2 linked regions of the Cricetulus griseus genome follow. The protein of the gene in region 1 purifies or fractionates together with the protein of each later gene. This does not show direct contact. Links are inferred from orthologs where the notes say so. Each region holds a gene or a part of one and is shown on either strand. Other genes may lie near its edges. The genes, in order: Pja2 and Mob1a.

What was found.
Region 2: the proteins of Pja2 (region 1) and Mob1a purify together in Homo sapiens (affinity purification with western blotting; 3 studies listed by BioGRID). This does not show direct contact. The link is inferred for Cricetulus griseus from reciprocal best matches to the Homo sapiens genes PJA2 and MOB1A.

The regions. Positions count from the first base shown.
Region 1 is NC_048595.1:453,414,816-453,418,637, reverse strand, and holds part of Pja2 (E3 ubiquitin-protein ligase Praja-2), read left to right. Parts: intron 1-431; coding exon 432-546; intron 547-892; coding exon 893-1,014; intron 1,015-3,822.
Region 2 is NC_048601.1:74,788,396-74,792,317, forward strand, and holds the start of Mob1a (MOB kinase activator 1A), read right to left. Parts: upstream 2,261-3,922; 5' UTR 2,054-2,260; coding exon 2,040-2,053; intron 1-2,039. UniProt on the Homo sapiens protein: Activator of LATS1/2 in the Hippo signaling pathway which plays a pivotal role in organ size control and tumor suppression by restricting proliferation and promoting apoptosis.

The sequences.
Region 1 (3,822 bases):
ATCTCATGAGCTGTTTCTAAAGGGTTTCTTTTCCTGATATTATTGATCTCATGTAAGAGCTCTTAAGTTGGAATTGTGACCATTCATCCAAAAAGTGCAGTTATAAAGAGCAAGTAGATGATTATTAAAACAGGACATAGCTTTACTTGTGATAGGTTAGGCTTTCTGCAGGTGGTGTGTGTGTGTGTGTGTGTGTGTGTGTGTGTGTGTGTGTGTGTGTGTGTGTACGAATGCCATGTACTGGTGAGACATGGGTATTTGACTTAATGATCGTGGTGGTGGGTCTTTCGGAAGGGAGCTAAAGGGACAAAAGAGTAACAGAAAAAGAATACGAGAATATGATAAATGTAATTTGATGAGACAGCTTAAAAATAGTTCCCATTACTATTTTAAAGAATCTCCTAACAAAGAGCTATACTTTTCTTTTTCAGACTGCACTGGCACACTTAGAGTCTCTTGCAGTGGATGTTGAGGTGGCTAATCCACCAGCTAGTAAGGAAAGCATCGACGGGCTTCCAGAAACGCTTGTTCTAGAAGATCATACTGGTAAGGCAGGTCAACATTCTCAAGTCTGGGATACCATATTGTGTGCTTTGATGTATTATTGGGGCAACTCAGTGACCAAGTAGTTGATCATTACGTTTTTATAAGAAGCTGACAAACTTCCACCTAGTAGAAAATGCTTAATAAAATATATAGAGACCAAATGTTTACCCGGTCAACTTTTTAAAGAAGTAATGTTTATGACATTCTAAATTAGCATGCTAGAATATGCTTGCCAGTTACTTGATAAAACTGCCTCTTCCATCTTCATAGCCATCACAGTGATTAGTTTTGTTAGCCCTGAACTTCACCTTACGGCTTGATGGATGCGCGTTGTTTGTGTTCTCAGCTATTGGTCAGGAGCAGTGCTGTCCAATCTGCTGCAGTGAGTACATCAAGGACGACATAGCCACAGAGCTGCCCTGCCACCATTTCTTCCATAAGCCTTGTGTCTCCATCTGGCTTCAGAAGGTGAGCTTTAGATGTACTTCCTTAAAATTAACATTTATATAGCTTCTTCTACAAGTAATAATTGTACATTAAGCATATAGTCATAGTATTTCACATTAAAGACTGGCTTCTTTTGTAGAAATTTAGACAACAGTAACTATTTAATATATTTTCATTCATAGCTCTGAAACTGCTTTCAAAAGTATCTCAAAAGATTCTTTTACATCAACCAAAGTACACTGTAATAATAAGAAAGTGTTCTACAAGTGTGCATGGGTGTTGCTGAAAATGTATGAGGAAAGTACAACCAAGCAAATAACCCCTCTCCTGCTTTTTATGTGCCTACGTTAAAGACGTACCAATCATTTGAAGTGTATTTGAGTTACTTTGGAACTAGAGTTTATTTACATCCCATGATCTCTGTTGGCACATGAAGATACTTATCGTCTAGCTCAGTAGAAACCTCTACGTCCTTTCTTGGCATTTTTCTTGTGGTTATAGCTCCCTCTTCTCTATAAACACTCCTACCCAGTCCCCTCTTCTTAGCTCTTTCTCTCCTTTTTTCCTGCTTTATTCTTCACTGTCACTTTATCCTCTTAAAACTGCATTGAAAATCTCTGAGCACTAATGTAGAGATGTTCACTATTCCTTTACAAAGTCTGAAGAATCATTGTTGCTTTTGCCTCCTGTGTTGTGGTTAAGTGTATACTTACTTTCTCATTTGCTAAAGTCTTTATTATTCCTCTGAATCCCTCAGCTGCTGCTTTGCCCTACCTCCAGTAACCAATACTCCTACTTACAGTGGGCAGATTTACATGTTCCCCAGTTGCTGACATTTGTGGGATTGTTTTTTTGCTTTTATTCTCCCACAAAAGGATTCCACAGTCTTTTTTAATACATAATTTTAAAAATTTATTCCTGAGTACTTTTTCTCTGTACAAACTTTAAAATCATTTTACTTATTTGTTTTTCTCTCCCAAAATAATTTGTTTTGGCTGAAATTTATTATTGTGATGGCATTAAATTTATACATTCTGCTGTAGACTTGCTCTGAAATACTTTTAGAGTTGGATTAATGAAACACAAAAATATCCATGAAATGCAGTGTTCTTTTGAGTTGAAGTTGAGAGTTTTATCCCTATTAGTGCTGGCTTTTTCTTTTTAATTTTAAGGTTTTTTAAAACATCCATTGTTTTGGAGATGTGTATATCACACCATGTTGTGAAAACTAGTTTGATATACTAGGAAGCAACCAGGGCCTAGTAAATGTTAAAACATAAATTACATCAATCCTATTAGTAAAAATTAGAGATGGCTTGTTAATAATGAAATGGCAAAAAGAAGCTTAATTTATGGTACAAATTGCAAAGACCTGCCAGCAGACTTCAGTAAACTACATATTAACAAAATGATTGCTAATCAATTAGTGCAAATAATGGGTGTTTGAAGTCTCTTGAGACTTCTGGCATTCCAGGTATTTTGTTTTGTTTTTTTTCTTTAACTGCTTATTTGGCATTGTGTTGATTATAGTATAGATGGCTATATCAAACAATATAATCTGTCTACCTTGAATATAAAGTTGAAATAGTCCATATTGAATTTAACTAATTACCTATAAACAAATAACTGGTATAGTGAGTTAGCAGAAGTTAAGTTAGCATTAAGTAGGAAAGAACGTGTAATCCCTGTGCATGATGGCAGAGGCGATGCAAGAGAGAAGGCATCTCTGAAGTTAGCAGGGAAGCCATGTATGCACCCAAGCTTGTGGTTCATGTCCACTCCTGAAAATCAGGCCAGCCACTTTTACTTCCTTGTCCGTGGTAGTTGCCTACTTTATTCCTCATCTTCATTGTAGGTGTTATCTGAACTGTAGCTCTGCTCATGTTACTTTGCTTGCCCTAATGGGAGAGATTAGGTTGGTTTTCCTTCACTTGCAGAAGAGTGGATTTCTGTCTTGGCTTTCAAGGCTTTCTGTGCTCTAGCCCCCAAGCTGTCTGTTCAGATTTGTTATTCTGTACACTTGGTCATGCTTCTGTACATTTGTTCCTGAAGGCTGACTTCCCTCCGTCCCATCTGTAAGATGAGGTGGTGTAAGTAGAAAAGCTGAGACCTCACCTTTTCTGTCTTGGATACAACGAGCTTTCTTTACACTCTCACTTAGTTACAGAGATTTAAGAAGGACACAGTGTTGTGTCCTCTCGGTTTCAGAAACCAGTAGACGATTCCCCTGTGTTTGCCCACTTTGTCCGCACAAAGGACTGGAAAATGTCATGGTGTTCTAGTCCCTAGACCAGTGATTGTTACCTGGGTTAAGATGATATAGCTGGTCCCGTCCAGGCTAAAACTGCACTCACTTGTATGACAGTGCTGATAGAGGCCATTCATTGTGGCAAGTACATCGTCAGTGTGCTTGGCTTTGCTGTAGCACAGGATAACAACCTAATTTTTGTCCTCTGAGGAAAGAAATTAGTATAAAGCCTCCCCTGGGAAAAAGGTTCCCAAAATGAAATTCTTTGTCACCTTCAACAGCATGGTAGCTTCGCTGCCCTTCCTTCTATCAGAGAGATGCATTTGGGAAAGGCCAGACTTGCAAGGACATGATGTGTCTTCTGTGAGGTGACAGGTCTCTGGGCTTCCATTGGTTTTAAAGCTGTTCTCTTCCCATCTTCTGTCCCAGGTCTGTGGTTAGTTTGTGTTGTTACTTAGAAGGCACATAATTGTCTCTTTTTAGAAAGGGGTTACCTGGCTAATAAAGTAAGGTCTGAAGTCAGTCTGGTTGATCACATCTGTCTACAATAAAGTGAGGCTTTCATGTATGTATATAACAAG
Region 2 (3,922 bases), on another chromosome or scaffold:
TTTTCTTAAATTAGCCCCTCTACCTCTAGGCTTTTACCTTTTTCTATTTCTGTGTATCTTTTCTTTACTTCTTACTCCCTGTCTGGCTGTGTGGCTAGCTGAGAATCTCCTCCCTCAGTCTCCTCCCTCCTCTCTTGAACCTAGATTTCTCTTCCTATTTATGCTTTCTGCCTGGCAGCCCCACCTATCTTTTCTCCTGTCTGGCAACTGGCCTTTCAGCTCTTTAATGGACCAATTAGGTGTTTTAGACAGGAAAATTAAAACAGCTTCACAGAGTTAAACAAATGCAACATAAAAGGATTAACACATTTTTGCATCATCAAACAAATGTTCCACAGCAGAAACAAATGTAACACATCTTCAACTAATATTCCACAACAAAATCTGATGCCCTCTTCTGGCATTCATGGGTACTGGATGCAGATGATACACATACATGCAGACAAAACACATACAAAAAGTAAAAAAATTTAAACTAGGCATAATGGTATACATCTTTAATCCCAACACTCTAGAGGGAGAGGCAGGCAGATCTCTGGGTTTGAGGCCAGCCTGATCTACATAGTGAATTCTAGGACAGGCAGAGCTACCTACATAATGAGACCCTGTCCCAAAGAAACAAAAGTAACTAAATCTTTTAAAAAATATAGTATGCTTCAAATGATGGCATCAAGACAGTTAAATAATCCAGAGGAAGAAACCATTTTTAAGTCATAGATGTGATAAGACACTCAAATATATGAAGAATTTTTACAACTCAAACCAAAAAGACAGATGGACATAAACACTGTACCATATATACACATATGGAAATGTCACAGTAAACCCAACTAATCTGTACAGTTAACAGGTGTTAACAAAATAAAAACAATCTGATATTAAAATAGGAAAAGGATACCAAAAGACTTTATTTATCCTCAAATAGCATGAAAATACACGCACAACGATGCTCAATATTACTGGTCATTTGGGAGAATGTAAACCAAGAGATTCTACTTTATACTCAAGAATAACAAGACAATTGACAAGACAGGTGTGAAGTGGAGAAGTTTGAAAACTCATACAGTGAGGTAGGGAAGTAACATGCAGTGCGGGGCTTTAAAAAGCTTGACAGTGCCTCAAAAGACTAACATGTAACAATTCACTCTTCATACCCGGGAGATATCACACACACACACACACCCAAAAACCTGTAACCAGATGTTCACAGCAGCGTTATTCAGAATAGCCAAAAAGTGCAAAACACTAATATTTCAGTCAGCTTAAGCTATAGTCACATTTACCTCACCTAGGTGAAGAGCTACCGTCCACAAGAAGTCAGGTTTTTCTCACGGACAAGCTCAACTACGCTGCCCATGATTGAGTGGTCAGCTCTACACCCAAGTACATACAGGCAACACTAACTGGACTCTGTGTGTTTACACACATATTAAAAATACAGACGAGAACATGAATTTTAAAGGAAAATGAGAGGGCACTGGAGAGAAGGGTGGATATGATGGAAAAACAACCGCATCTATGAAGTTCTCATAAACTAAAAACCTTTAAAAAGACAAAAAAAAAAAAAAAGATTCACATTTGGGGCAGACGTTAAAGCGTCCACATTCAAAAAAAAAAAAAAATCCCAGCACCCCGGAGGCAGAGACAGGTGGAGCTCTGAATCCCAGGCCAGCCCTGACTCCAAACGACCCCCGTTTAGAGCAGGCCGGTCCTGGTGGCCTCGGAAGGCTGGGGCGGGAGGCGCCCGCCAGGTTCGAGGCTGCCTGGGACACAGGAGGGGGAGAAAAGCCACATGATAACGAGGAGCCGGCGGCCAGCTTCTCAAACGTAAACCAGTGGAAAACCATGGAGTATGTGCACCCGTCTAGTCCCAGGGGCACCGCGCGTTTTCCGGCGCGAACCTCTTCCGACGCCGCAGGCCCGCCCTCCGCTCGGCACCCTCAGCCGGGCCCTCAGCAGCGGCCCCGCCGGCCGACACCAGCCCCCCCGCCCGGCCCGGCCGCCCGGCCCGGCCCGGCCCGCCCGCCCGGCCCACTCACAAGAGGAAGCTCATCCTCGCTAGCCCGAGGGGCCGCGGCCCCCGCCCCAGTCAGACTCGGCGCCGCCGCGGGCACCGGAATGCGGAGGGCGGTCCGCGGCTAAGCAGGGCCGCCGAAGCTTCACGGCCCGGGCGCGGGATGGGAGTCCAGCCGCCGCGAACCAGCACGGACCACGGAGCCCTCCGGAGATGCCTCCCACACTTCCGAGAGCCGAAATGCGGAACCGACGAGATCTCGCGAGACTAGGCTTCCTCCGCCCCGCCCCGCGGTGCCTCGCTCCGCCCCTTACTGAGCTCAGCCAATCAGTATTCGGTGGGCCCGGGAAGGCCCTGGGGGGGGGGGCCAGTTCCGCACTACGGTCAAGTATTCCGAGGCTGCGGGACGTCTGCCAGCGCCGCTCGGTGACTGTTGTGCTATTTAGGGCTTCATTCTTTTTCTGAAGGAATACTATTGCAGCCACATCATCTGTTGATGGACACTAGGGTGGTGTCTGCACGCGCATTACAATGCTGCTATGAGTGTTCATGTGCATGCTTTGCGCGCGTGAAGAGAATGTGGGCACCAGGTGACACCACGGTAGAAATAAAGGAGGAGAAAGAAAATTGTGGAGATAAATAAATGGTGGGACAGGATGCGCAGTGGCAAAGACCCAGTACTTTCCCCGCTCTAACTGCTGGTGGTTTTAAACCATTCGAATGTCCCCTGTCGCATTAATCGATTTTATTTTATCAACTGGTTTTCTTTTCTTTTTTCTTTCTTGTTGTTGCTCCTTTGTTGAGATAGGATATGACATAGCCCAAGATGCTTTAAAAGCTCAGTAAACAGCGGAGGATGACCTTGAATTCCTGATCCTCCTCCTCCCTCTGCCTCCAAGTGCAGGGATTACAGGCTTGAGCTGCCATGCTGGGCTCCATCTATTAACTTTTAAAAACATTGTTTACAAATTTGTATGTGTGTGTGTGTGTGTGTGTGTGTGTGTGTGTGTGTGTGTGTGTGTGTGAGTGTGTGTGTGTAAGAAAACATGTAGGAGTTGGACCATGCCGGCGAGTGGGGTCCAACCAGGTTATCAGGCTTGTTCTGTAAGCTTTCTCATTTTATTTTTGTTTTATTAACATCTATAACGTCTGCAGTTTTATTTGTATGTGATTTAAAATGTATCTCTTGATAAAGGTTTATGGTTCTTCCTTTCTTTTTCTGGTTCTTGAGACAGAGTTTCACTATGTAGTCCTACTGTCCTGGTACTCACTACATAGACCAGGATGTCCCCCAAACTCACAGAGATCTGCCGGCCTCTGCCTCTCTGCATTCTATTTATTCATTTTTTAATTATAATCTTTCCTCTTTTTTTCAATACAAGAGATTCTCTTTGTAGCCCTGACTATCTTGGAACTCAATCTGTAGACCAGACTAGCCTCAAACTCAGAGATCCAACTGCCTCTGCCTTCTGAGTGCAAGCTCCAGGACAACCAGGACTACATAGACCACCTCTCTCTCTCTCTCTCTCTCTCTATATATATATATATATATATATATGTGTGTGTGTGTGTGTGTGTGTATGTATGTATGTATATATGTGTGTGTATGTATGTGTATATGTATATGTATTTATATATACATAATATATATATATATATATATATATATGACTTGAGATACTGGAGAGATGGCTTAATAATTAAGAGTACTTGTTGCTCCTGTGTGTAGTTCTTGAGTTCAGTTCCCAGAATTCACAACTGTCTCTACCTCCAGTTCCAGAGGATCTAACACCCTTTTCTAACCTCTGCAGGCACCAGGCATCTATGTACACTGGCAAAACACTTACAAGATAAAGATAAATCCTCATTTAAAAAGAAAAAAAAATTAGTCGGTGGTGGCATATGCCT